Linked DNA regions of Anolis sagrei. The protein of the gene in region 3 purifies or fractionates together with the protein of the main gene of each other region. This does not show direct contact. Links are inferred from orthologs where the notes say so. Each region holds a gene or a part of one and is shown on either strand. Other genes may lie near its edges.

The links.
Region 1: the proteins of TULP3 (region 3) and IFT140 purify together in Homo sapiens (affinity purification with mass spectrometry; 5 studies listed by BioGRID and IntAct, counting the BioPlex papers as one, with this or other methods). This does not show direct contact. The link is inferred for Anolis sagrei from reciprocal best matches to the Homo sapiens genes TULP3 and IFT140.
Region 2: the proteins of TULP3 (region 3) and WDR19 purify together in Homo sapiens (affinity purification with mass spectrometry; 5 studies listed by BioGRID and IntAct, counting the BioPlex papers as one, with this or other methods). This does not show direct contact. The link is inferred for Anolis sagrei from reciprocal best matches to the Homo sapiens genes TULP3 and WDR19.
Region 4: the proteins of TULP3 (region 3) and IFT122 purify together in Homo sapiens (co-immunoprecipitation; 6 studies listed by BioGRID and IntAct, counting the BioPlex papers as one, with this or other methods). This does not show direct contact. The link is inferred for Anolis sagrei from reciprocal best matches to the Homo sapiens genes TULP3 and IFT122.

Annotation. Positions count from the first base shown.
Region 1 is NC_090034.1:23,609,228-23,616,365, reverse strand, and holds the start of IFT140 (intraflagellar transport protein 140 homolog), read left to right. Parts: upstream 1-4,057; 5' UTR 4,058-4,275; exon of another isoform or gene 4,276-4,470; 5' UTR 4,471-4,563; intron 4,564-4,906; 5' UTR 4,907-4,929; coding exon 4,930-5,076; intron 5,077-7,138. UniProt on the Homo sapiens protein: Component of the IFT complex A (IFT-A), a complex required for retrograde ciliary transport and entry into cilia of G protein-coupled receptors (GPCRs).
Region 2 is NC_090025.1:119,211,717-119,219,642, forward strand, and holds the start of WDR19 (WD repeat-containing protein 19), read left to right. Parts: upstream 1-4,869; 5' UTR 4,870-4,952; coding exon 4,953-4,958; intron 4,959-7,657; coding exon 7,658-7,749; intron 7,750-7,926. UniProt on the Homo sapiens protein: As component of the IFT complex A (IFT-A), a complex required for retrograde ciliary transport and entry into cilia of G protein-coupled receptors (GPCRs), it is involved in cilia function and/or assembly.
Region 3 is NC_090025.1:104,602,622-104,610,401, reverse strand, and holds the start of TULP3 (tubby-related protein 3), read left to right. Parts: upstream 1-4,755; 5' UTR 4,756-4,864; coding exon 4,865-4,908; intron 4,909-7,780. UniProt on the Homo sapiens protein: Negative regulator of the Shh signaling transduction pathway: recruited to primary cilia via association with the IFT complex A (IFT-A) and is required for recruitment of G protein-coupled receptor GPR161 to cilia, a promoter of PKA-dependent basal repression machinery in Shh signaling.
Region 4 is NC_090022.1:49,981,115-49,988,399, forward strand, and holds the start of IFT122 (intraflagellar transport protein 122 homolog), read left to right. Parts: upstream 1-4,232; 5' UTR 4,233-4,434; coding exon 4,435-4,475; intron 4,476-7,285. Other genes in the region: MBD4 (methyl-CpG-binding domain protein 4), read right to left, coding at 791-1,030, 4,010-4,029. UniProt on the Homo sapiens protein: As a component of the IFT complex A (IFT-A), a complex required for retrograde ciliary transport and entry into cilia of G protein-coupled receptors (GPCRs), it is required in ciliogenesis and ciliary protein trafficking.

The DNA.
Region 1 (7,138 bases), on a different chromosome or scaffold from region 3:
CCTCTGATAGGACAGCCCAACTGAAGACGGCGATTGTTACTCAGAGCAGGCCTGGGCCAACTTGGCCCCTCTGGTTGTTTTGAACTCCAACTCCCACAATTCCTAACAGGCTGTTAAGAATTGTGGGAATGGAGTCCAAAACACCTGGAGGGTCCAAGTTGGCCCAGGCCTGACTTAGAGGTTCAGCATAAAGAAGCAACCAGATAAACTTCCCAGGCCGTGTGACCCTTCGCTGCCAATGATAAGGAATGCCGGGAGTTGGAGTCCAATCTAGGAAAGGCCACACCACTCTTATCCTTCCTGGAATGTAACAAAGAAGCAACTAGGTAAACTTCCCAGGCAAGGAAGGGTGCAGCCTGACACACATGACTGGACTACAAGCCCCAGCAGCCTTTGCCATCTAAACAATGACAGGGAATGCTGGGAGTTGGAGTGCAACCTAGGGAAGGCCGCACCCCTCGTATCCATCCTGAAATCTCCTATGCTTTAATAACCATAGGATAACAACATTACACCTTTTCCTTCCTCTAAGACATTCTCTCCACCTTTGATTAGGAAAAGCCTGGGGTGGGTTCCACCTCAAAGGCCTACCTTGCACACTCAGGCTGGGCCCACACGTTATGTGAGTCTACACTGCCAAATAATCCGTTTCAAGAGACTTAACCTGTAGTAACGGCACTGCAGTGTGGACCCAGCCTCAGCTGGCAATGCTTCCTTCGTTCCTTTTTTTCTTTTCGGTAATAATAATAGAATTCTCCTCCTCCTCCTCCTTTCTTTCCTTCCTTACCTGAGTCATGAGGGCCCCGCGGAGGCCTCCCCGTCGCCGTCGCCGTCGCCGTCGTGACCCGTCCCCCGGAGCCTCCGAAGGCGTTCCGGGCTGCTGAACCCTCACACAAGCTTCTGGCACTGCAGCTCCCGCCTCTTCCCGTAGGCGGAGGGCAGAGAAACCTGACTTCCGCTTCCGTCCTGCCGGGAATGCAAAAGAGAAGGCCGCACCAGCAAGCCCCGCCCCCAGGCAACCCAAACAGAGTGCCTTATTGGCCGGCCGGAACCAAAGGGGCGGTGCCGCTGGAAGCCGCGGAGGCGAAAGTGACCAATAGAAAGCGGTGGGGGCGGGGCAGCTCGAGCCTGGTTGGTGAAGGTCTTCAGGTTATTACAGGGAAGCATTCTCTCCTGACGTTTCGCCTGCATCTATGGCAGCTATCCTCAGAGGTTGTACTTACTTAGGCGATCCCTCGTTGTCCGAGTAGGATAGTCTTCCAGGATCTGTGTACTGGCAGTGGGTCCGTAGGTGACTCTGGAGCCCTATTCTTGCTCTGCATCTTTTCCCGCAGTGAGGGCATCGGTTTCCAGGTGGAAGGCGGTCCCGGTCAGGGTTGGCTTGACGCACCTTCCTCCTGGCACGTTTCTCTCTTTCGCCCTCCATTTGTGCCTCTTCAGATTCTACAGCACTGCTGGTCACAGCTGACCTCCAGCTGGAGCGCTCAAGGGCCAGGGCTTCCCAGTTCTCAGTGTCTATGCCAGAGTTTTTAAGGTTGGCTTTAAGCCCATCTTTAAATCTCCTTTCCTGTCCACCAACATTCCGTTTTCCGTTCTTGAGTTCAGAGTTTGGGAGATGGTGGTCAGGCATCTGGACAACGTGGCCAGTCCAGCAGAGTTCACGGCGGAGGACCATCGCTTCAATGCTGGTGGTCTTTGCTTCTTCCGGCATACTGATATTTGTCCACTTGTCTTCCCAAGAGATTTGCAGGATTTTCCAGGGGCAGCTCTGATGGAATCGTTCCAGGAGTTGCACGTGACATCTGTAGACAGTCCACGTCTCACAAGCGTTTAGCAGGGTTGGGAGGACAATAGCTTTATAAACAAGCACCTTGGTATTCCTACGGATGTCCCAGTCCTCTAACACTCTCTGCTTCATTCGGAAAAATGCTGCACTCACAGAGCTCAGGCGGTGTTGAATTTCAGTATCAATGTTGACTTTGGTGGAGAGGTAGCTGCCAAGGGAGTGGAAATGGTCAACATTTTATAATGTTACACCATTAAGCTGTATTTCTGGCATTGGAAAGGGATTGGCTGGTGACTGCTGGACAAGCACTTTGGTTTTCTCGTTGTTCAATGACAGGCCGAGCTTCTCGTATGCTTCTGGCTTGTAGATCTTCTTCTGAATGCGCACAAACAACATTGTCATCAGCCTATTGGAGTTCTATATAAGAGATGTTGTTGTAACCTTGGTTTTGGCTTTCAGTCTGCTGAGGTTAAACAGCTTGCCATCTGTCCGATAGATGATTTCCACTCCGGTGGGAAGCTTCCTGTCAACAAGATGGAGTATCATAGCAATGAAGATGGAGAATAAAGTTGGGGCAATAACACATCCCTGTTTGACACCCGATTGCTTCTGGAACATTGCCATACGAACCAAAAAACTTACAGCAATCCAGTGATTCTGGCTATGAAAGCCTTTGACAACACGTATTACAGACTCAAAGCGGCTCACAATCAAAAACAGTACAACCCAAAATACAGAAATATACAATAATAAAACAGTATAATTATATATTATCAGTAGTAATTATTTTTAATATATTACTATTACTTTATTATATATTTTTATATTGTATTATTATAAATGGAGCCCCCAGTGGCGCAGTGGGTTAAACTGCTGAGCTGCTGAACTTGCTGATTGAAAGGTCGCAGGTTCAAATCAAGGGAACGGTGTGAGCTCCTGCTGTTAGCCCCAGCTTCTGCCAACCTAGCAGTTTGAAAGCATGCAAATGAGAGCAGATCAATAGGTACCACTCTGGCAGGAAGGTAACGGCGTTCCATGCAGTCATGCCGGCCACATGACCTTGGAGGTATCTATGGACAATGCTGGCTTAGAAATTGAGATGAGCACCAACCCACAGAGTCGGACACGACTGGACTTAATGTCAGGGGAAAACCTTTACCTTTTTTATGTAGTATTAGTATTATATTGTATTATATTATAATATTATTATCAATATTATAGGTATATGCAATATATTATTAGTATAGCACAATATTAGTATTATATATTACTATATTACTACACCGCTCTCACTCGAGTTGGTGTATATAGTACTACACCAGTATACTGAAATATTAGTAATATTACATATAATATAATTATATTATAATATACTATATAATTACTATATTAGTATACCACAATATATTTGATACCCTACCAGTATATTATACTATTAGTATTATATAATATATTGTACTATAAGTTGTAGTATATATAATATTTTGGGGGTGGTGACAACCAACAGGGAGCTCTGGCGTGGACTGGTCCATGAAGTTACGATGAGTCGGAAACGACTGAACGAATGAACAACAACAAATATATAATATATATTTATTAATTTATTTACTATGCTTGTATACCGCCCCTCTCAGCCCGGAGACGACTCGAGGCACTTTACATTTGGCAATCAATGCCCCACAAGATAAAATACAGTCAAAAACAATTACACATAGTATAAACCGTATAAAAACAATAACCATAAACAATTAAGATCACAAAATACAGTTCTCAGCATATATTATATCACAACATTAATATTATATATAATTTTATTTATTTTATCAGAAGAGAACTGAAGGTACAGTTGTAACGTATTAAAACACACACACAAAGTTTAAAAACTTGGTACTCCAAGTGGCCAGCTAGCGCTCAAAGGGCATTTAGTATAATTATACATATATATTAGTATTAAACAAAAACAACAGTTGGAACATAATAAAGTAGCAAGACTATAATAGAACACGTTACAGATTAAAATATATCCAACACTTAAGGTTTATTTGAAACTAAATAAAACCAGTCCTTCCTTGAGTGGCAAGTGGAGTGCTTATGTGTGTGTTTCCAAAGAGGGCGGGGCCGCTTGGAAGCCGCGGAGGCGAAAGTGACCAGTAGGAAGCAGCGGAGGCGGGGCTTACAGTGCTCAGGGCTCGATCCTGGTTGGTGAAGGTCTTCAAATAGGCAGGGCTTGGGGCCTCTGCTTACAATCTCATTGGCTGATTGGATATGTGTCTTTTCCTCGGAGCGGTAGAGACGAGTCAAGAGAAGCTACATAGGGTTGGTCTGAGAACGGGTTAGCCGTTCGGGAATTTCCGTCAAAGTGTTCGGGAAACATCGTGCATTTCCGACTGCGGCTTCGGCTGTTTCCGCTCCGGGGAAGCGCTTGCCGTCGCCAACGGTAACGCTCGGCGTCTTCTTGGCGTCGAGGAGCGCGCTTTCTTTCCTCTCAGGCAAGCGGGCGAGGGACGGAGAGGAGGCCTCGTTGGCTTTCGTTTTCCTCCAGGCCTAGGGACCGGGGCCTCGAGTGAGAGGCAGGCCGGAGACGTGAGGGGTTGCTGGGCTGCGAGGGTTTCTCTTTTCCCCAGGACGAGAGACTCCAGTTCTTCTCATTCACCTTCAAGGAAACTCTTGTTTATGGTTGACAGGGCCGAAGATGGACAGAACCTATCCTTTCCTTCTCCAAACTGAATGGGGCTTCGGGCAGGACTTTCTCAAACAGGACCATTTACAAGCTTCAGGTAAAATGAAAGGTGTCCAAAGAAATGTACACACCCTTCCAAGTTTAAAAGCTGATAGCTCAGGCCTGGGCCACTTGGGCCCTCTCTCCTGGTGTTTTGGACTTCAAGGCCCACAATTCCTAACAGCTGGTAGGAATGTTATATTAATTTCTTGTATCACCAAGAAACAAAATGTTTTTATTTCATTTCCTGACAAAACTTACTTAAAACACTTAGTGAGGGAGAGTTATTGACCCCCTACAATTCATATTTTAATGTGTGGTCAACTTTCCTGTTTCCTCTGATGCTCGGAGTCTTAATTGTTACAGTTTCTTGATTGCGAAATGCTTTTTTTGTATTCTAGATGTGTAGCGTTTGCCTTTCGAAATGGCTGTGTACGTTAATCATCAAATAGAAGCTCTTGAGTCCCATGGACCGCACTTCCACATTGCGTGGCACCACATTCATCCGTTTTTGGCCATTGCATCTGTTAATTCAAATTCTGGGGGCAGTGTGGGTATTTTTCTAGAGCAGGTAAGCATTTCAAATGTTTATTTATTTTGTGTCAAAAGCATTTCATAAATAAATATAAAACTGATAATATAGAAGGAGCACAAGCGGCGAAATATTTTTAGACCAGAAACAGGCAACAGTGACTGCATTGTCTGTAGCTTTAAGCAGTTTTTCCTCTGTGCATGAGGCAGGGCATTGTGGGCAAGCATACAGGAGCCCCCGGTGGCACAGTGGGTTAATGCACTGAGCTGCTGAGCTTGTTGATCGAAAGGTCGCAGGTTTGATTCCGGGGAGCGGCGTGAGCTTCCGCTGTCAGCCCTAGCTTCTGCCAACCTAGCAGTTCGAAAACATGCAAATGTGAGTAGATCAATAGGTACTGCTCCGGCGGGAAGGTAACGGCGCTCCATGCAGTCATGCCGGCCACATGATCTTGGAGGTGTCTACGTTGTCTACGGACAGCGCTGGCTCTTCGGCTTAGAAATGGAGATGAGCACCACACCCCAGAGTCAGACATGACTGGACTTAATGTCAGGGGACTACTTTTACCTATACAGATGCTTAGTTGTTTGTTCTGCTCCACAGTTGCACAACGTAGACGATTCTTCTAGGTAGGGCCATCTTGCCAGGTTGTCTTTTGATCCACCAACTCCACTTTTGAATCTATTCAGGGACTTCCACATTGCCCATTCTTGGTTTGCCCCCTGCAGGCAGACCCTCATGTGGGGCCATCCGGTTGGGATTTCCTGGTCTAGCTGCCCAGAGGGATATCCTTGCTGTTGTTGGGAGAACATTAAGAGGAGTGGTGGTTCTCATGAAGCTTTTCCTTGATTGGACTCTACTGGGAGGAGGCTGGTAGCCATTCAGTGGGTGGCTTTCCCAGTGTTCAACTTTATTTATCTCGCAATTGGCAGCAACTTCCCGTCGCAATGCCAGCTAGCTTATACAGTCAATCAGGTGTGGGTTTGAGACATCCTGTGATAATCCTATATGCTTCATTTAGTGCCATATTCACATGCTTTGCATGGACAGACTAGTACTAGACAGAGCAGGCACACTCAGCAGTTGAGTAAGGCAAGGCTAGGGCTGATGTTCTTATTAGTTTTGGGTCTGCACCTCATGTGCTGCCAGTAAGTTTCCACAGAATATTATTGTGTGTACCTACTTTATGTTTGGTGTTCATACAGTGTTTCCTAAATATTAGTGTTCAAGCTAAGGTGTCACCGAGATACTTAGGGTGGGAACATTTGAAATATGATCTGGTTGTATATAGTCCCATAGAAGAACGGGAAGTGGGGGGGGGGGCATAGCACTTCTGTCACCAACCACAATGTGCAAAACGGAGTCTTCCTGTTTCAGTTCTGTGGAGGAAAGAAAGTTTAAATTTCTTCCTCCATGACAAATTTAGCTTTCATAAAAAATAGTTTTGGAAGCTGCTTGAAAATATGTAATGTCATAAATGCATGTATGCACTTTAACATATGGAGAGGAGGAGGACTAAGATGCTCTAACGCTGGCGAGCCCATTTGCACTATATGGTGGCTATAATACATTTTTAATAAACACCTGTGTTCATGATTTGAAATGCAATTCATTTCTGCTTTTAGTGATATATGTTTAATGTTCACTCATGTCTTCGTTTCTTGTCTAAATTGGCTTATTGCTATCAAGTTCCCATTTCAATGTTTAGTTTTTCATAAGTTTATTGTTATTATGGTGCATTATTTTGTATTATTCCTGATGTTGTTTGTACTTTGTAAGGCACTGAATGTTTGCCTGTTTCTGTGTGTAAACCACCCTGAGTCCCTTTTGGGAGAGAGGGTGGTATAGAAAAAACGAGATTCAGCTTTGATAGTCATTATGTGCAGTTCTGCATGAATTACTTCTGATTTGACAGGAACCTATTCAATAATTAATTTTGAATTTAATTTAACCTGTTAATAGCTTTTAGATGTACATGTTTGTCAACTTCATACATCACACAATATGTATATAAAGGTGATCAACATGTAAAAGTGCCATTCCATGTCTATTAACATTGGGTTAAATTGAATTGTTTCTTTTCTCAAAGTTTTTTTTACAATAT
Region 2 (7,926 bases), about 15 Mb from region 3:
TGAGAGAATGTGAATTTACCCAGGGTCATGCAGTATATTTCTGTGGCTGAGCACAGATTCTTAGTTTCCTTGACTCGTCATCCAATGTTCAAACCATTACATACTGTACCTATCTTTCCACATACTAAGTACACCCACTCATTTCTCTTAAGATTAATGGCAATCTTGTGATTCTACAGAAGTTGGTGGGTCCAAATTTCTAGCATTCCTTACCATTTTCTATGCTGACTAAAATTATTGGGAGTCGCAATCCAAAAACACCTGAAAGCCCGTGTGATTCCTGTACCTATCCTAAGATGAGCAAGCAATAGGTTACACCAGAATGGCTCAAACTGTTCCTCCAGATGTTTTGGACTTCAGCTCCCACAATTCCTTACAGCTGGTAATTTGGCTGGGATTTCTGGGAGCTGAAGTCCAAAACACCTGGAGGAGCACAGTTTGAGAAACACTGGCTTAAACAATGGCTTAAGTAAGAATGCCTTGAAATAAGCCTTTAAATGGAAAGAAAACAAAACATCTGACCATTCATTTTTTAAAAATAGTCTTTATAATATAATCAGTAGAGCATCGCTAAAGCTGATGATATATTTTTGTAAAATATCTATGAAGCATCTCAGGAGAACCATATATAAATTTTCTAAGTCAATAACAGCAAATGTTGATAGCATCATACTGGTATTATGGAGGATTTAAATTAACAGCATCTGTTATGGGAAAGTCCAGGATAACTAAAATGAACCTGCAACTCAGATAAATGTTTATATAATGCAAGGAGTGCCAATTTATAGTCTCCCATTGATTTTAAAAATGCATATTAAAAATTTAGAAAATTCTGATGGGCACCTACAGGCAGAGCACATGCCAGCTAAAATAAATTCCAGCTCTCCTCAAGGGTGTCAGAACAGTGATATGTAATTATCACCAATCATTTACATTAACTCAGGCAGTTTTAAAGTGTGGAGAGGTGGAAAGGGGAGGAAGGTCGCTGTTCTAGATTTGAAATCTTTTTCTTTAGATATTTTAAGGAGTGATTCTGCCTATGTACATCGGCCCACATACTAAGATCTGCAGTACACTGTGTGGAGACATGAAGCAGAGTGCATGGGCTACGTGATGCCTCTCCCTGGAGACAAAATTAGCTTCAACATTGACATGTTTTCAGTGCCAAGTTTATTTGTTGTTTCAGAAGCGAACCGAGGGTACAGTTGTAATGTATTTTTAAAAAACTTGGCATTATACTAAATGTCCTTTGACCAGTAGCTGGCCACTTGGGAGTGCTTCTGGTGTCGCTATAAGAAGGTCCTCCATTGCGCATGTGGCAGGGCTCAGGCTGCATTGTACTAGGTGGTCTGTGGTTTGCTCTTCTCTTCTCTCGACACATGCATGTCGTGGACTTCATTTCTTAAGATTGCCTCTGCATCTTGTGGTGCCAGAGTGCAGCCTATTCTGTGCCTTCCAAGTCACCCAGTCTTCTGTGTGCCCAGGGGTGAGTCTCTCATTCAGTATCAGCCATTGCTTGAGGTTCTGGGCTTTACCCTGCCACTTTTGGACTCTCACTTGCTGAGGTGTTCCTGCAAGTATCTCTATAGATCTTAAGAGAGCTATTTCTTGATTTAAGGCATTGGCGTGCTGGCTGATATCCGAACAGAGGATGGGCTGGAGATGTCACTGCCTCATTCCTTTCATTATTGGCTGCTACTTCCCAGTGGATGTCAAGTGGTGCAATACTGGCTAAACAGTATAATTTCTCCAGTAGTGTAGGGCATAGACATCCTGTGATAATGCAGTATGTCTTATTAAGAGCCACATCAACTGTTTTAGTGTGGTGAGACATGTTCCACACTGGGCATGCGTACTCAATAGCAGCATAGCAAAGCGCAAGGGCAAATGTCTTCACTGTATCTGGTTGTGATCCCCAGGTTGTGCCAGTCAGCTGTTGTACGATATTGTTTCTGGCACCCACTTCTTGCTTGATATACAAGCAGTGTTTCTTGTAAGTCAGAGCACAGTCCAGGGTAGTAATAATAATAATAATAATAATAATACTCATCATCATCATCATCTTTATTTATACCCTGCCACCATCTCCCCAAAGGGGACTCGAGGTAGCTAACATGAGGCCAAGCCCTGAATTACAGGACAACAAAATAAAATAAAATACAAACAGCAAATAATAACATCAAAATAAAATACATCCAATAACAGAAAATGAAATAAACAGATGCAAACTAACATGATGAAGAAGAAGAAAATAAAAGCAAGGTAGGCGGGCCAAATGCACAGAATAAAATTGATAAAACCCTGGGTGAGATAAGTAAATGGAGAAGTATGAGTCTGTGGGGCAACTCAGAAGGGCTGAACAATGGGATTGAGCCTACATTAAAGACAACAAAAAGTGCATCATGAGGACAGAACTATATTTGGTACGGACATGATATAGGGATGTGTTCACTTGCCAAAGGCATGCCAGAAGAGCCAGATTTTTAGGACTTTCTTAAAGGCTGTCAGGGCGGGGGCTTGCCTAATCTCACTAGGTAGCGAGTTCCAAAGCTGAGGGGCCACAACGGAAAAGGCTCCCTCCCTCATCCCCACAAGTCGCACTTGAGATGTAGGTGGGAGCAAGAGGAGTGTCTCCCCCTAGGATCGAAGAGATCATGCAGGATTATAAAAGGAAATGCAGTCACGAAGGTAGGCGGGTCATGCCTACCTGCGTGACCGTATTTCTGTGTACGAAGGAAATGCAGTCACGCCTACCTGCGTGACCGCATTTCTGTGTACGAACCCACACGATCTCTTCGTTCATCTGGAGAGGCCCTGCTTGCGTCCCCAACTCCTTCGCAGGTGCGATTGGTGGGGACGAGGGAGAGGGCCTTCTTGGTGGTGACCTCCTGACTCTGGAACTCACTTCCCAAGGACATCAGACATGCCCCAACTCTGGCAGTCTTTAGGAGGAGCCTGAAAACGTGGTTGTTCCAGTGTGCCTTCCCAGAATAAGGAAAACCCTCAGCAATATGCCCTCAAAATGCACTTTACCATTGATTTGGGATTGATTGCGTTCCTTCATCTCTCCTTGAAAATTCTGCCCTAGTTCTATCCTACCTTGTCCATGTCCAGCATTATTCTTAATTTTAATCTATTGCATTTGGCCCGGCCATTGGTTTTAAATGCTTGTGTGTTACTGTTGATGTATTGTTTATTTTTTGTTATGTGATTTTTATTAATTGTATTGCTTTGTTTGTTTTGTTATTGCTTTTGTTTATTGATGTACTGTACGTTTGGCCTCATGTAAGCCGCACCGAGTCCCCTGGGGAGATGGTAAAAGGTAAAGGTAAAGGTAGTCCCCTGACATTAAGTCCAGTCATGTCTGACTCTGGGGTGTGGTGCTCATCTCTATTTCTAAGCCGAAGAGCCAGCCTTGTCCGTAGACACCTCCAAGGTCATGTGGCCGGCATGACTGCATGGAGCGCCGTTACCTTCCCGCCGGAGCGGTACCTATTGATCTACTCACATTTGCATGTTTTCGAACTGCTAGGTTGGCAGAAGCTAGGGATGACAGCGGAAGCTCACGCCGCTCCCCGGAATCGAACCTGTGACCTTTCGATCAACAAGCTCAGCAGCTCAGTCCTTTAACCCACTGCGCCACCGGGGGGAGATGGTAGCGGGGTACAAATAAAGTTTTTATTATTATTACTAGCTGTCCCCTGCCACACGTTGCTGTGGTCCACATGGCTGTTCTGTGTGGGAGGTTTGCCCCAATTCTATTGTTGGTGGGTGATTGTAGGTGAACTATAAATCCCAGCAACTACAACTCCCAAATGCCAAGGTCCATTTCCCCCAAACTCCACCAGTTTTCACATATTGGCATATTGTGTATTTGTGCCAAATTTGGTCCAGATCCATCATTGTTTGAGCCCACAGTGATCTATGGATGTAGGTGAACTACAACTCCAAAACCAAAGGTCAATGTCCACCAAACCCTTCCAGTATTTTCTGTTGGTCATGGGAGAACTGTGTGTCAAGCTTGGTTCAATTCCATCATTGGTGGGGTTCAGAATTCTCTTTGATTGTAGGTGAACTATAAATCCCAGCAACAACTCCCAAATGACAAAATCAATTTTTTGAGTGAAGGACATACATTCGGTTGTTAGGTGCCTTGTGTCCAAATTTAGTGTCAATTCATCCAGTGGTTTTTGAGTTATGTTAATCCCACAAACGAACATTGCATTTTTATTTATATAGATGATGATGATGATTATAAGTGTCTTGTGGCTAAATTTGGCAGCATTTCATCCAGTGGTTTTTGAGTTATTTTAATCCCACAAACGAACTTTACATTTTTATTTGTATAGATTATATAGAAGATACGTTATTAGTTCATCGTCTTTTGCAACTCCCTCTGGGAATCTCTAGAGCAGGCCTGGGCCAGCTTGGGCCCTCCAGGTGTTTGGGACTTCAACTCCCACAATTCCTAACAGCCTGAGGGGGGGGGGGGGAGGAAAGGTCCTGAGGCTGTTAGGAATTGTGGGAGTTGAAGTCCCAAACACCTGGAGGGCCCAAGCTGGCCCAGGCCTGCTCTAGATCCTCCAGGATGACACTGTAGCCAACTTCAGCTAGTTTGGAAGATGACCGTAGAATCGTTCAGCTTTAAAAAACCACTGCTTACTTTAGATATGGGAATATCCACACTGGTATCAATTTTAGTTCCATTTCCCAGAAGCCCTGGCTATAGACCAGATCCGCCGAGCCTTCTGGGAGTTGAAGTCCAAAGGTACTCTCGTTCAGGCACCCGTGACGTATAACAAGACACGCCCTCTGCTGGGGGCCGCCATCTCCTGGGTGACGCCGACGCTTGGAGAGGGGAGGGGCCAGCCGAGGCGGGTGATTGCGCAGGCGCAGTCGCTCTGTTTTTTTCCCTCTCTCTCCTTAAACACCGTCGGAGTGAAGGCGAGAAGATGCAGGTCGGTCAGGGCTGGGAGGGGTGGGAGGGCGGTTGGGCTTTTCTAGGCCAAGTCACAGTATAGTGTGCAGCAGGCCTGGGCAAACTTGGGCCCTCTCTTCAGGTGTTTTGGACTTCAACTCCCACCATTCCTAACCCCCTCAGCTAAGCGGCTGTGTGGGGAAAGGAAGAGGCCTGAGGCTGATAGGAATTGTGGGAGTTGAAGTCCAAAACACCTCAAGAGAGGGCCCAAGTTTGCTCATGTCTGATCTAGAGATTCTCAGGAATACAGACCAGATTGTAATTGCAAAATATATGATAGCAGCGACCCAAGCAACAGTTGCCTTAGGATGGAAAGATGAAGGGAAATGGGGATTTTAGAAATGGCTCAAATATTGATCAGAGTATATGTTCCAAGACTGCATATCATATATATATGAATCATAGAATCATAGAGTTGGAAGAGACCTCATGGGCCATCCAGTCCAACCCCCTGCCAAGAAGCAGGAATATTGCATTCAAATCACCCCAGACAGATGGCCATCCAGCCTCTGCTTAAAAGCCTCCAGAGAAGGAGACTCCACCACACTCCGGGGCAGAGAGTTCCACTGCTGAACGGCTCTCACAGTCAGGAAGTTCTTCCTCATGTTCAGATGGAATCTCCTCTCTTGTAGTTTGAAGCCATTTGAATGGCCATCCAAAGGAGAACTGGCAGTTAAAGTGGAAAAGGATTGTAGTCAGAATGAAAGGGAAACTATAAGGATCTGAACCAAAACATCATCATGATTGAAAAAATAATATAAAGTTTAAACCAGCGGTCCTCAAACTAAGGCCCAAGGGCCAGATACAGCCCTCCATGGTCATTTACCCAGCCCTCGCTCAGGGTCAACCTAAGTCTGAAACAACTTGAAAGCACACAACAACAACAACAACAATGCTATCTCATCAGCCAAAAGCAGGCCCACACTTCCCATTGAAATACTAATAATAGAGCCCCCAGTGGAGCAGTGGGTTAAACCCCTGTGCCGGCAGGACTGAAGGGTCGCAGGTTCGAATCCGGGGAGAGGCGAATGAGCTCCCTCTGTCAGCTCCAGCTCCCAAAGCGGGGACATGAGAGAAGCCTCCCACAAGGATGATAAAAACATCAAATCATCATGGCGTCCCTTGGGCAACGTCCTTGCAGACTGCCAATTCTCTCACACCAGAAGCGACTTGCAGTTTCTCAATAATAATAATAATAATAAACTTTATTTGTACCCTGCTACCATCTCCCCAAGGGACTCGGTGCGGCTTACATGAGGCCAAGCCCACAATACAACAATAAACAATAACAACAGTAATACAAATCACTCCTGACACACAAAAACTAATAAGTTTATATTTGTTAAAATTGTTCTTCATTTTAATTATTGTATTGCATTTAAGCGTTTTTTGCACTACAAATAAAATATGTGTAGTGTGCATAGGAATTCATTCATTTTTTTTCCAAATTATAATCTGGCCCTCCAGCAGTTTGAGGAACTGTGACTTGGCCATCTGTTTAAAAAGATTGTGGACCCCTGGTTTAAACCAATGAGTAGAGTTATATCTGTCCCCATAGGGAGGTGAGTAGGAGGAAAGGGGAGGGAGAAAATGGATATGTATAAATAATAGCTACTGAGCTACTGAACTTGCTGACTGAAAGGTTGGCGGTTCAAATCAGGGAGTGGAGTTGTTAGCCCCTGTTTCTCCCAACCTAGCAGTTCAAAAAGATGCAAATGTGAATAGATCAATAGGTACCGCTCCGGTGGGAAGGTAATGGCACTCCATGCTGGCCACATGACCTTGGAGGTGTCTATGGACAAAGCCGGCTCTTTGGCTTAGAAATGGAGATGAGCACCACCCCTCAGAGACAGACTCAACTGGACTTAACGTAAAGGGGAACCCTTTACCTTTATCTATAAGTGATAGATGTATTGAACTGTAAAAGATAAAATGTAATCAACAGAATGTGTTATATGTGGTAAAAATAATAATATATTGTGTATATGCGGTTGTGACAATGTTACAAATTACTTACATTTAACCAATAAATAATAATAATAATAGTGAACAAAGTTTTCCCCTTAGCTATTTCTCTAAACATCACTTGTTGAATTTTTGTTTATTACCACAACTAGGGATTCAGATTTCTATTTCCCAGGGATGTCAATCTCCCTGATTGTTTTAGAGCAAACAAAAATTCAACAAGTGATGCTCAGGGAAATTGCTAAGGAGAAACTTGTGTGTATTGGATTGTGCTCAGTGGTTTCCATGGCAGTGAGTGGTGAATCCAATCTAAGTTTTAAACTAGGCTTTAAAAGAAGCTCTTCAGGATGCAAAATAGGTCCGGATCTTTTGGATTTGAGGTTATCCAAAATGTGGGGTGGGTTCTCTTCCCTGGGTTCACAGGATGCTATGTTACAAAGAAATCTGTTCCTGGTTTGAAAATGTTATTTCCTGTTTAATTGTGCGGTACTTCCTTTGAAAGTAGTTGTTATACTCCAGAAACTTCATTTTTGTGGCTGCCACAAATATGTTGAATTGTTGTGACTCTGAGATATTGAAAAACTATAGCAAAATGTGTTGCAGCACATTTTCCCCATGTTTTATGACAGAACCAATTAGGAAATAGCATTTATAACCAGGATCAAATATTGTATGTTTACAAACTTATAATTGATTTTGTTTTTCTTTTCATAGCGAGTGTTTACCCTTTCAGAAAAGGATTCACCTAGTTCCCCCATACAATTTGCTTGGCAAAAAGCTCTAGGAAACTACATTGCTGTTACAAGGTAAGATAACATATGGTCAGTGCTCCATGTTTGTGAGTTTGACTTTTGCAGATTTTATTATCTATAGAATTGACTAATGTTCTCCCTGGCATACTCAAGAGCAATTTCCTCTCAAAAGTGACCATGGAGTCCTCTGAGAAATCTAGAGATTCCTTGGGAGAATGCTCTTCTGGTAAT
Region 3 (7,780 bases):
AGTGAGATGTCAGTTAATATATGAGTCTGTTTGCAGCAGATGTATAGTACAGTGAGTTGAAGTATAGTACAGTGTAGTACAGTTTTAAGTTTAATTCAGTTGACATCTGTTTCAATAAGCAATGTACCTTCTTGCTAAATACACAAAGCTTGTAAGTATATCAACGATGTTAACTTTTAACGAAGACTACTTATTTTTTTGGTCTCTTAAGAACATGATTTTAAAACAATATATTTTATGGGAGAGTAGATTATATATTTTTGTGCAACAGAAATAACACTTCTGAAGATCTGCTACATATTTTATGCATTGGCATTTCTTTGTTCCTAGCGGTTCAAAGAGATAGCCAAGTATATCAGTCTAACAGCTGAGAAGCCTAAACTGCCTTGTATAAATACTAGTAATTTACCACTAAGGTAGTGGTTCTCAACCTGTGGGTCCCCAGGTGTTTTGGCCTGCCAGAAATCCCAGCCAGTTTACCCAACTGTTAGGATTTCTGGGAATTGAAGGCTGAAACATCTGAGGACCCACAGGTTGAGAACCACTGCACTAAGGAGAAGATTGACTCAGGTGAGTTTGTAACTCTTCTTGGGAAGATCATACTTTACAAAATGGTTACGATCTCTATCAAGGTCATGCCTTTCCAAAAGGTTATGATTATTCCAAATAGTCTGGCTACCAGTATTGAAAAAACTCTACAATTACAACAGCAAAACAACAGAGAGGAAACAATATGGGACATGTAATCACCTCTCAACAAAAGATTGCCCCAGGCACTGCCAGGCAATCAAATGCTAATCAAGGTGGTCAGTTGAAACATTCACACCTAGCTCCAGGAAACAAGAGTCCTTTGTCCCACCCTGGTCATTCCACAGATATAAATCCTTTTCCCTAATTCCAACAGACCTCACTACCTCTGAAGATGCTTGCCATAGATGCAGGCGAAACGTCAGGAGAGAATGCCTCTAGAACATGGCCATATAGCCTGAAAAAACCTACAACAACCCAACAAAATTAGTGTTGCATAGTGTAATCTGTGTATCCCGCCCTCCCTCCACACTAAGCTCTCTCCCACCAAACCTAAAGGACTGGTCCCTTCCCCGGCCTCTTGACCCCATCCTCGCCTCTCTCACCTGTTCTTGGGGCTGGAGCGGCGGGGACTGGCTGCAAGCCCCGTTCTCCCCCGCCTTGAAGGGAGAACGTGGCGAGCCAGCCGCCAGTCCCTCAGGCGGTCGGTACCGCCGTCTTCCGCCTCTTGGGTTGTTTGAATTTGGCGCCCAACAAGGACGTTCGACGCCACGTGACGGCGCCGGGCCAATTAGAGCGCAGGGGGCGGAGCCTGTGAGGAAGGAGAGCGAACGGTAGGAGCAGCGGCCCAGGCGCATCTCTTTCGGAGGCAGACTTGCTGTGTATGTGTACACATGCGTCAGGATAGGTGTTTTGAGTTTGTATATGGGTGCCCTCACCTGCCACAGTCATTCCCCAGCTCTGGCTCTCCACGGTTTGGAAGGGACTCCAACTCCCAGAAGCCTCAGCTGCTCTGACCCAGGATAAGGGATTCTGGGAGTTGAAGTCCCAAAGGGTTTTCATCCTCCAATGTGGTTTTGCCAGTTTCTTCCTCTGAAATGCTGCCTGCAACAGCTGGCATTTGTCAGCGGCGTCCCATTCAAGAGCTGGCCCTGCTGACTTTGCAGGATCAGACGCCATCTGGGGCGTTTAGGATTTATGTTGACAGTTAACTGTCCTGCAGTTCCAGAAATAAACGGAATCACCAAAACAGAGATATTAATAATGTTGTAAAATAATATTTATACTTAATAATACAATATTTTATAATAATATAATATTTATACTTATGATATAATACAATATAATATGATCTATATAAATCAAAATATAATGTTCGTTTGTGGGATTAACTGAACTCAAAAAGCACTGGGGGAATTGACACCAAATTTGGATGCAAGACACCTAACAACCTAATGTATGTCCTTCACTCAAATTTTTTTGATTTTGTCATTTGCGAGTTGTAGTTGCTGGGATTTATAGTTCACCTACAATCAAAGAGCATTCTGAACTCCACCAACGATGGAATGGAACCAAACTTGGCACACAGAATTCCTATGACCAACAAAAAATACTGGAAGGGTTTGGTGGGCATTGTCCTTGAGTTTGGGAGTTCTAGTTCACCTACATCCAGAGAGCATTGTGGACTCAAACAATAATGGATCTGGACCAAACTCTACACGGATACTCAGTATGCCCAAATGTGAACACGGGTGGAGTTTGGAGAAAATAGAATCTTGACATTTGGGAGGTGTAGTTGCTGGGATTTATAGTTCACCTACAATCACAGAGTATTCTGAACCCCACCAACGATAGAATTGGGCCAAACCTCCCACACAGAACCCCCATGTGGGCCACAGCAACGTGTGGCAGGGGACGGCTAGTCTATATAAATAAAAAGTAATGTTCGTTTGTGGGGTTAACAGAATTCAAAAATCACTGGGGGAATTGACACCAAATTTGGACATGATACACCTAACAACCCAATGTATGTCCTTCACTCATAAAAAAACAGCAGAAGGGACTTAAAAAGCTAAATGACGAAAAGCTAAATGACAATACAGAAAAAAAGGAAGAAAGAGGAGGGAAGGGGAGAAAAGAAAGAAAGAAAGAAAGGGAGGGAAGAAGGAAAGGGAGAAGGAAGCATATAAGCAAAGAGAAAAGGAAGGAAAGAGGTAGAGAAGGAAGAAAGGGAGGAAAAGAAAAAGGGGAAAGGAAGGAAAGTTAGAGAAGAAAGGAAGGAGAGAAGGAAAGAAAGAAGGAAGGAAAGAGGGAGCGAAGGAAGGGGGGAAGATGTAGAGAAAGAGGGAGGGAAGGAAAGAGAGGAGGAAGAAAAGAGCAGAAGAGAAAGAAAAAGGGGGAAGGAAGGAAATAGATAGAGAAGGAAGGAAGAAGAGAAGGAAAGACAGGAAAGAAGGAAAGAGGGAGTGAAGGAAGGAGGGAAAAAGGGAAGGTTGGCCACAGCAATGCGTGGCAGGTACCACTAGTAATATAATATTATTTATTTACAACATTTATATGACGCCCTTCTCACCACGAAGGGAAATCAGAGCGGCTTACAAGATAGATATACATACATACATACAAACACACACATACACACACACGCTGTGCCACTAGGGGCCCCCAGTAGTATAGTACAGTATAATAATATATTTATTTATTTATTTACTAGATTTATATACCACCCCTCTCAGCCCACAGGCAACTCAGGGCGGTTTACAGTCAGTACCAATACCAAAAAGTACAATTAAAACATTAATATAAATATAAAAGAAGTAAAAACAATCAATATCAATTAAAAACATATATAATTAGAGTCTCCTTGTTCAAACAGTGTCCAGTCACGTCGTCCAGTCTTTCCATTTTTCATCTGTAGTAGTAGTAATTTTATTGATTAACCCTTAGGCCATATCACAATAAGAAACAGAACAACAAGGTCTGATAAGACCCGATCACACTCCACGTAGTAAGTTAAAATAAGACACTTATAACGATACAGTAAATAAATATGATAAGACATGATAAAACTGATAAACTGATCAAGCTGAGTATATACATCATATTTCATTATCACCCCTACAACTTACCCCAATCAGCCCTAAATATGTGGTTCTCAGACGTATTGTTTTGCTTAAGTACAGAGCTGTTTTGTATGTTATTTTTGGGTCTTGACCACACATAAAATATGTTGTTCTGATGTGAGATTCCCAATACATTGTCCATTTGACAATCTAACCATTGTCTCGAGCTGATCAAATCTGACTCGAGTGAATACCTCCCTGAGATTTTTCATCTGTAAACGCTTACTCGGCCCCTCTTCCTTTTTCCCTCCATTTCCCCCAGCATCATTTTCTTCTCTAAGCTTTCCTTTCTTCTCATGATGTGGCCAAAGTACTTAATATTTGCCTCTAATATCCTTCCCTCCAGTGAGCAGTTGGACTTTATTTCCTGGAGGATGGACTGGTTGGATCTTTTTGCAGTCCAAGGCACTCTCAGAATTTTTGCAACACTATTTTTGTTGGGTTGTTGGTTTTTTCGGGATATATGGCCATGTTCTAGAGGCATTCTCTCCTGACGTTTCACCTGCATCTATGACAAGCATCCTCAGAGGTAGTGAGGTCTGTTGGAACTAGGAAAATGGGTTTATATATCTGTGGAATGACCAGGGTGGGACAAAGAACTCTTGTCTGCTGGAACTAGGTGTGAATGTTTCAACTGACCAACTTGATTAGCATTTGATGGCTAATAAAGGTGGTCAGTTGGAATTTCAAGCATAATTGGCATTTCGGAAGATCTGTGCACGATGGGTACCCAGGATGCTGACGCTGGTTGCGGAAACAGTGTCGACTTGTTCTGTGAAGGCTTCAGAAAACTTGTTCATCGTTGGCAGAAACGTATCCAATTGTCTGGTGATTATGTGGCAAAGTGAATAGTGGTAGTTTAAGAGCACATTGTAAGGATTATTTCTGCGTTTGATTTATTAAAATATTCCCATCCAAACCCAAGTAACGAAGGTGGAGGCATTACTTTTCAATCAACCCTGGTAGAGAAAGATGTTGAAGAGCCCTGGGCCCAGGTCTGAGGAGAAGGCCGACGTCACGCTCTTTGCAAGTTGATGCGTGGCTTTGTTTTCTCCCTCACCCCGCTCTGGCTGCGCCCAATGAGGAGCAGGCGTTGTGCGCACGCGCCGCCCAGTGCCTCGCGGAGGCTCCAGGGGCGGGAAGGCGGAGGAGGGGGGCGGTCCCAACCCGGCGAGGGGGCCGCCCCCTCCCCTGGTTGCCATAGCAATGGCAGGATGGCCAGCCGGAGCGGAGTGACTTTGGCTACCATGGGAGCCAGGTGAGGCCAGGGCCCGAGGGTCCTCTTGGCGGGGCGCCCCCTTTTGGGCGAGGGGGGTGCTGGGGCCGCAGCAGAGGCTGGAGGGAAGCCCAGGAGGGCGACGCCCGGCCCGCGAGCTTGCAGGGATCCCCGCCAATCAGCAAGCGCGCGGAGGCCTCCCTGTCTCGAGCTCTGCGGCCGGAGAGAAGGCTTTTGCAGTGTATCATAGAGGCGCTGCTTCCTCTCACCCGGAAAGAAGGGAAGGGGGCGCCATGGCGGCTGCTCCTTCCCCCATCTCCTTGGTCCTTTTCATCAGTCAAGCCTATTTTTATCAGTGGAAGGGAGGCGCCTAAAGGCGAAGAGCAGGGAGGAGGGCACCCAGATCTCTGGAAGTTTTGAAGCAGAAGCTGGATGGCCATCTGTCGGGGCTGCTTTGATTGTTCTTTTCCTGCATGGCGTGGGGTGGGCTAGATGTGGTGACTTCCAGCTCTGATTCTTCCATCTCCTTCCCCCTAGCAACAATATAGTACTATAGAACACTTTTTTTTTGTTCTGTCAGGAGCGACTTGAGAAACCGCAAGTCGCTTCTGGTGTGAGAGAATTGGCCGCCTGCAAGGATGATTTGATGTTTTATCATCCTTGTGGGAGGCTTCTCTCATGTCCCCGTATGAGGAGCTGGAGCTGATAGAGGGAGCTCATCCGCCTCTCCCTGGATTCGAACCTGCGACCTGTCCGTCTTCAGTCCTGCCGGCACAGGGGTTTAACCCAATGCACCACCGGGGGCTCCTATATAACACTAATATTGTGCTATGCTAATCTATATAAATAAAAATGTAATGTTCGTTTGTGGGATTAACATAACTCAAAAGCCACTGGGGAAACTGACACCAGATTTGGACACAAGACACCTCTCAGGCCAACAAGTGACCATCACTCATAAAAACACTGAAAAACACAGCAGAAGGGACTTTAAAAAGCCAAAAAATACATTACAATGCATACGCAAAACCACATATATATACACAAACACACATATATACACACATATATGCATACACACAGAAAGAAGGCAGGAAGGAAAGAAAGAAGGAGGGAGAGAAGGAAGTAAAGAAGGGTAGAGAAGAAAGGAAGGAGGGAGAGACGAAGGAGGGAAGGAAAGAAAGAAAGGCAGAGAGGAAGGAGGGAGAGAAAGAGGGAGAGAAGGAGGGGAGAGAAGGAAGGAAAAAAGAAGAATAGAGAAGGAAGGAAAGAGAGAAGGAGGGAGAGAAAGGGAAGGAGAGAAGGAAGGAAGGAAGGAAGGAGAGAAGGAGGGAGAGAATGAAATAAAAAAGTGAAAGAGGGAAGGAAGGAGACAAGGAAGGGTGGAACCAAAGAGCTAAGGAAGCGAGAAAAGAAACAGAAGGAACAAAGAAGAAGGGAAAGAAAAAGAGGAAAGGAAGGAAAGAGGGAAGGAAGGAAGGAGAGAAAGAAAGAAGGAGAGAAAGAGGGAGGGAAGATTGGCCACAGCAACACGTGTCGGGTACAGCTAGTAATATATATTGTATATACATATAATATTGATAATAATAATATAATAATAATGATAATACAATATAATAATATTAATTCTATATTATATATTACATGTAATATTACAGTATACCAATATAGGACAATATAGTAATATATAATGATAATTTTGTGCTATGCTAATAATCTATATAAATAAAAATGTAATGTTCGTTTGTGGGATTAACATAACTCAAAAACCACTGGGCGAATTGACACCAAATTTGGACACAAGACACCTATCAGGCCAACGAATGACCATCACTCATAAAAACCCTGAAAAACACAACAGAAGGGACTATCTATATATATAAATCTGTTAGGTTGGTTCAACCGGACAGCAAAACTCCACAACCCCCCAACGAAACTGTACCAAAATTGCCATGCCCATAACACAACCCACAAGGTACAAACATATCTACTCAAAATGAAAAACAACACAACAACACACTCACAAAACGGCAAAACAACAAAACTCAAAAAACCCCAACGAAACTTAACCAAAATTGCCATGCCCATAACACAACCCACAAGGTACAAACATATCTACTCAAAATGAAAAACAACACAACAACACACTCACAAAACGGCAAAACAACAAAACTAAAAAAAACCCAATGAAACTTAACCAAAATTCCCATGCCCATAACACAACCCACAAGGTACAAACATATCTACTCAAAATGAAAAACAACACAACAACACACTCATAAAACGGCAAAACAACAAAACTCAAAAAACCCAACAAAACTTAATCAAAATTGTCATGCCCATAACACAACCCACAAGGTACAAACATATCTACTCAAAATGAAAAACAACACAACAACACACTCACAAAACGGCAAATCAACAACACTCACAAACCCCCCAACGAAACTTAACCAAAATTCCCATGCCCATAACACAACCCATAAGGTACAAACATATCTACTCAAAATGAAAAACAACACAACAACACACTCACAAAACGGCAAAACAACTGAGCATGCGCATTGGTGCCCAGCCGCAAGTTCCCTGGCGCGCGCACACAGTTCCCTCTGAGGAAGCCATGCCCACTCCAAGCCCCGCCGCGCCGCTTCCCGCACACACACCCCCTGCCGCACGCACACACACAACCCCACGCTCTATCACTCCCCCCGCCGCACACACACACGCAACCCCACGCTCCATCACTCCCCCCACCGCCACAGACACACACGCAACCCCACTCCCCCCCGCTGCCGCACACACACACGCAACCCCACGCTCCATCACTCCCCCCACCGACACACACACACGCGCAACCCCACTCCCCCCCGCTGCCGCACACACACACGCAACCCCACGCTCCATCACTCCCCCC
Region 4 (7,285 bases), on a different chromosome or scaffold from region 3:
AAACTTTATTTGTATATACAAAAAGCACCCAATTTTTAGAGATTTTTATATGGGGGAAAGTGTGTCTTAGAATTGACAAAATACAGTATTTTAAATAAATTAGATAGCTGACTTGTCAAGAATGCCCTGTGATAGGACTTTCCTTAGGGCCACCATGGGCCCTTCCACACAGCCCTATATTCCAGAATATCAAGGCAGAAAATCCCACATTATCTGAGTGTAGACTCAGATAACTCAGTTCAAAGCAGATATGGTGGGATTTTCTGCCTTGATATTCTTGGATATATGGCTGTGTGGAAGGCCCTGTCAAGCAGCACAAAACAAAACCAGAGCAATACTGAGGGCCATTCCACTCAGTAGTTTCTTGAGTCGCTCCTGACATGAAAAAAAACCTGCTTTATTATAGAGCTGTGGTGACACAATGGGTTAAACCCTTGTGCTTGCTGAGTTGCTGACCTGAAGGTTGCCAGTTAAAATCCACAAGACGGGGTGAGCTCCTGTCTTGTCAGCTCTAGCTTGCGGGGACATGAGAGAAGCCTCCCAGCAGAATGGTAACACATCTGGGCATCCCCTGGGCAACATCTCTGTACATGGCCAATTCTCTCATATCAGAAGCGACTTGCAGTATGTTCTCAAGTTGCTTCTGACATGATTTAAAAAATTTGCTTTGTTAACTGAGGTGTATTTACATACTATGTATATTCTTTGTAACACTTTCTTTTCTCTGCTCTGAACCGAAATGCCACATGGGCTACATCAGTAGATTCCCAAGACTTATACTTAACATTACCTGACAAAATATATGTCATATTTTCCTGCCGTTTTTCCAGTCTGTCTTTGCTTGATTATCCTTTCCCATCCTTCTGGAACACCTTTATGGCACAGATGAGTTGATAAAGATTCAGCTGGTTCATCTTCTTTGCACTGGATAATCTCAGTCTCTTCTTTCTTGGTTTCAACGTCCTCTTGTGCTGTAGCTTCTCCCTTCTCTTTGTTTATATCTTCCATCACATGTTCATCACTTATATCGCTGCAGATGAATGCAATACTATCAAAATTTGCCCTGTCTTTAAAGCTTTTCCTAGTACAAAAGCTGCTCTACCTTGTTGATCACTGAAATGTTCCTTTTTTTACACCTGGCACAACTGCATCATAACTTCTTTTTGCCTCATAATTTAAAAACAAACAAACAAAATAAACCCTATTCCATATAAATGTTTTTCACTCAATCTGATATAAGAGGAAAACGTCTCACTGATACTGAAGCTGACCGGCACTAAAATCAGATTAAATCAGACAAAGTCTCCCATTTATGATATCAAAATCTATATGGTCACCTTGTCACAGGACACTTCCAGACACATGGCTCTCAACAACATCCATCAAAATATATTTTCAGTCATTCTCTCTTTTTCCTCTTTCTGACATTTTTATGTGGTAAGATCACCTGGAATGCTTACAGATGGAAGCAACCATCTGGATGTTCCTTGTAAAATTCCACAACCGAGGCAGGGCTACTGTACAATAAAAACTTCTGCTATCAAAGCACTCAAAGTGATGAGCTGAGCAGACCTTTGGCCTAATCAGTCCTTGAAGACAGTTAGTATTCTCTTAATGCAAACGGATCCAGCACTTCCACTTCCACAACCATAAATCTCCAGGAGCCATATACTCCAGAAATATATGCTCTCGTAACATGTGCAGCCCATTTCTGTGGATTTTCCCTTGAATTATTGGTTTGGGTTCGGGTTACCTAAAGGATCACCTTCTCCCATACAATCACCTCTCCCACACCTTGGTCCTCTGAGGGGCGACTGGTAACCACAACCCAGAGGACCATTTCATCGGCTGCCCCAAAGCTCTGAATGATCCTCCACATGCTTGTGGATTTCAATGGCTTCTCAGTGTAGTCTGACATGGTGGTTGTTAGAGTGGTCCAGCATTTCTGTGTTCTCAAATAATATGCTGGACCACTCTAACAACCACCATGTCAGACTACACAGAGAAGCCATTGAAATCCACAATCATGTGGACAATTTCAACAGAAAGGAGGAAACCATGAAAATGAACAAAATCTGGCTACCAGTATTAAAAAGCTGGGTTGCAGCTAAACATAAAAAAACCAAGATCATGGCAACAATAATGATTGACAACTGGAAAATAGAGGGAGAAAATGTGGAGGCCGTGACAGACTTTGTATTTCTAGGCGCAAAGATTACTGCAGATGCAGACTGTGGCCAGGAAATCAGAAGGCGCTTACTTCTTGGGAGGAGAGCAATGTCCAATCTCGATAAAATAGTAAAGAGTAGAGACATCAGACTGGCAACAAAGATCCACCTAGTCAAAGCCATGGTATTCCCTGTAGTAACCTACGGATGTGAGAACTGGACCTTAGGGAAGGCTGAGCGAAGGAAGATTGATGCTTTTGAGCTGTGGTGTTGGAGGAAAGTTCTGAGAGTGCCTTGGACTGCGAGAAGATCCAACCAGTCCATCCTCCAGGAAATAAAGCCCGACTTCTCACTGGAGGGAAGGATACTAGAGACCAAGTTGAAGTTCTTTGGCCACATCATGAGGAGACAGCAAAGCCTAGAGAAGACAATTATGCTGGGGAAAGTGGAAGGCAAAAGGAAGAGGGGCCGACCAAGGGCAAGATGGATGGATGGCATCCTTGAAGTGACTGGACTGACTTTGAAGGAGCTGGGGGCGGCGACGGCCGACAGGGAGCTCTGGCATGGGCTGGTCCATGAGGTCACGAAGAGTTGGAGATGACTGAACAAATGAACAACAACAACAACATTAAAAAACTCTAAAATTATAACAGCAAAACAACAGAGAGGAAACAATCTTGGACATCTAATCACCTCTCAACAAAAGATTGCCCCAGGCACTAGCAAGCCACACCAAACAACAGCCAGGCCATCAAATGCTAATCAAGGTGATCAGTTGAAACATTCACACCTAGCTCCAACAGACAAGAGTCCTTTGTCCCACCCTGGTCATTCCACATATATATAAACCCTTTTTCCTAGTTCCAACAGACCTCACTACCTCTGAGGATGCTTGCCATAGATGCAGGCGAAACGTCAGGAGAGAATGCCTCTAGAACATTTATGTATTTATTTACTTTGCTTGTATACCGCAGTTTCTCAGCCCGAAGGCGACTCAACGCGGTTCACAACATGAGCAAAAAGACAATCATAACAATATACAATTTAAAAACCAGTAAGGGCATAATATACAAAGTAATAACACATCAATAACAACACATTAACATCTCGTAACTAGAATCGTGATCCAAATTCGTCGTCTATGATTCCGTTCCTATGTTCACCATATTCATTGTAATGTTTATCCGAATGCCTGTTCAAACAGCCAGGTTTTTAGTTTTCTTCGAAACACCATTAGCGTAGGAGCTGATCTGATGTCCATGGGAAGGGCGTTCCACAGCCGAGGGGCCATCACAGAGAAGGCCCTGTCCCTCGTCCCCAACATGGCCATATAGCCCGAAAAAAACCTACAACAGCCTATGAATTTTAATGCATGTCCTTTTTTAAATCTCTATTTTGGGAGTTGTAGGCCAAAACACCTGGGCACCCACAGGTTGAGAACCACTGTCTTAAGTGATGTGCTAATGGAACACAAGCATTTATTCTCTGGCATCATGATGTCACATTTGCACTGAATTCCTGTTCTACTTGTGAACAGGGCTGAGAATTGCGGTATATAAGCACAGTAAATAAATAAATAATAAATAAATAAATAAAATAAGAAGGACCAGACCAAACTATTCATTCTCGGAAGTGGGCAGGTTGCAGGCCATTCAGGATGGAATCCATCCATGCAGTAGTTCTCAAACTTTGTTTTTTGGACTCCAACTCCCAGAATTCCTCGCCGTTGGACAAGCTAGCTGAGGGCTGCTGGGAGTTGAAGTCCCCAATCCTGGAGGATGGAAAACTTGGGGGCCACTGAAAGAAGGAGTCTATCATCTCTTTGTTGATGAAATCCATACCTGTCTGCAACTACCTGCATTGTTTCTCCGACAGGAATTTTGCCTCACCTCTCTATTAAGGCGGGAACTCATCTGCTCAATACGCATGCGCATTTTCACCCCCCTGAGACCAGATACGGGAGTAGTAGCCTATTAAGAAAGCGGGGCAGAGAGTCACCTGAGATCTCGCGAGAAGCAAGAGTGCGCTGAGGCAGATTTTGTTTGCGCATGCGTACTTGTGTTGTTTCTTCACTCGTATATCCAGCGGTGCTTAAGTGGAAATTTAGAGAAGAGGGATGGGAGGAAGGAGATGCGCATGCGCAAGTCCTCGTGCATCTCTGCCCAAAGAAGGGCGGTTTAACGTGGGCAAGAGTGCGCATGCGTGTTGCCTGGGGAGTCCGAATAAATAAAAGCGACAGCGTCCGTTGGTGGCTGTTGTGGAAAGGATGCGAGCTGCGTTGACCTGGAGGGATAAGGCCGAGCAGTGGTAAGAGCAACCGGGCTGGGAGAAGCTGGAGGTGCATCTACACTGTGGGATTAAGGCACTTTGACTCCACTTCTTTCAACTGCTATGGCTCAAGGCTGTGGAGTCCTGGGAGATGTAGTTTGTTGAGGCACCAGCACTCTCTGTCAGGGAAACCTAAGCACTTTGTAACATTACCCCCATGATCCATGGTATCTCAACTGCATTATTTTCTCAATGTAGACGTACCCTGAGAAGAGACAAGCTATCACTGCAAACTGAATGACAGCACCATGGCTCACTATGGAGTTAAGGGAATTGTAGTTTTACAAAGTCTTGAGCCTTCTCTGCCAATGAGTGCTGGTGCCTCACCAAACTACATAAGGAGCCCCCGGTGGCGCAGTGGGTTAAACCCCTGTGCCAGCAGGACTGAAGACCGACAGGTTCGAATCCGGGTAGAGTGCGGATGAGCTCCCTCTATCAGCTCCAGCTCCTCATGCAGTGACATGAGAGAAGCCTCCCACAAGGATGGTAAAAACATCTGGGCGTCCCCTGGGCAATGTCCTTGCAGGCAGCCAATTCTCTCACACCAGAAGCGACTTGAACTTTCTCAAGTTGCTTTGACACGGCAAACAAAACCAAACTACATATCCCAGGTAGAGCGCGGATGAGCTCCCTCTATCAGCTCCAGCTCCTCATGCAGTGACATGAGGGAAGCCTCCCATAAGGATGGTAAAAACATCTGGGCGTCCCCTGGCAATGTCCTTGCAGGCGGCCAATTCTCTCACACCAGAAGCGACTTGCAGTTTTTCAAGTTGTTTTGACACGGCAAACAAAACCAAACTACATATTCCAGGATTCCATAGCATTGAGCCATGGCAGCTAAAGGGGTGTCAAACTGTGGCAATTCAACAGTGTAGATCAGGCATGGGCAAACCTCGGCCCTCCAGGGGTTTTGGACTTCAGCTCCCACAATTCCTAGCTGCAACTCCCATAATTTCTAACAGCTGTATGTAGGCCATTGGCTGGCAAAAGTATGATAGCTGGGACCCAGTGCCGGTAGTGCTACGCTGGTTGCGTAATGTGGCTCAGAATTAGAGAAGGGAACATGTGCGCGAGAGACCACACGCAGTGAGAGACACAGCTATGACAGACTTGACAAGGTAGTTCGGTAGAAAGGAGGAGGGGACACAGGCAAGCATACTGATGTAGGCTATCCAGAGATCCTAGGCAAACATGTTCAAAAATGTTGCATTGGAAGGAAGGATAGAAAGGAAGGAAGAGAGAAACATGAGCAGTGATAAAAAATGAATCAAATCTTGTCACTCTTACATTACTTCACTGTTATCCTGTGCTACCTGCGTTACATTACTTCACTGGTATCCTGCCGCAGCTGCATCTCTCAGTCGATGCTCTGTCTCGCGCACATGTTCCTATCTCTAATTCAGAGCTGCGTTGTGCAACCAGCGTAGCACTACCAGCACTGGGGCCCAGCTATCATACTTTTGCCCATAGGGCGTTAGAAATTGTGGGAGTTGAAGTTAGGAATTGTGGGAACTGAAGTCCCAAACCTCTGGAGGGCCCAAGTTTTCTCATGCCTGGTGTTGATGCACCCTGCTCTTCCCAAGCAGCTCAGGCAAACAGTCTGCTGCAGCCTTTCCTAGGGTGCATCTACACTATAGAATTAATGCAATTTGGCACCACTTGAACTGAACCGCCATAGTGCACCAAGGAATCATGGGAGGTGATGTTTTCTAAGGCCATGAGCCTTCCCTGCCCAAGAGTGCTACCACATTACAACACCCGGGATCCCATAGCATTGAGCCAGGATGGTTCAAGTGGGGTCAAGCTGCATTAATTCTACAGTGTAGATGCACCCTTAGCTTGTCTTTTCCTCGTGGAGAATGTTTGAGCTACTCTTTTCCTGCTCTTTTGAACCACTTTTGCTGCTTGGTCAAATGGTTCTGTCTGCAAAATGTTGGCGAGTACACAGTAATTGTGGTGCAGTGTTTTAAGTATTGGATAATAATAATCATAATCATAATAATAATACTTTATTTGTAACCCTCCGTATCTCCCCAAAGGGACTCAGGGCAATTTTCAATGAGTAACAAAAAATGGAAAAAATAAAATAAAAGCCAAAAGCAGCCAAATGACAAATCACATCAAAAACAATGGATAAAACAATCTCAATATGAACTTATACAACTAACTGAAAAATAACTGAAAATTACACTTAAATAAACATAACACATCACACACATTTACCACATAACAAACCCATACAAATTAAACTAAAAGTGTGAAAAGCATAAGATGGTTTGGAATATGTCTCAGGATGTCAAGGTCTCAATTCCCCCTCGACCATGGAAACCCAGTGGTCACCCTGGGGAATCACACTCTCAGCCTCAGAGGGAGGCAAAGACAAACCCATGGTGAACAAATCTTACCAAGGCCCCTTCCACACAGCTGAATAAAATCCCACATTTTATCTGCTTTGAACTGGAATATATGGCAGTGTGGACTCCGATAATCCAGTTCAAAGCAGATATTGTGAGATTTTTCTGTCTTGATATTCTGGGTTATATGGCTGTGTGGAAGGCCCCAAGAGAACTCTGTGATCAAGCCACCATTAGTCAGATTTGTCTTGAATGCATACAGTGACAACAATGAGTCTATGCTGAAGAGGCATATACAACACTACCATAAAACCACATTACGGTATATTATACTAAAACACATTTATGATAAAATGCTAACATACTGTTTCTAATAACAAGAAAACATTTAACAGCACTCAGAATCCAGTAGCAGCAAGGATAAAACATGTTCAT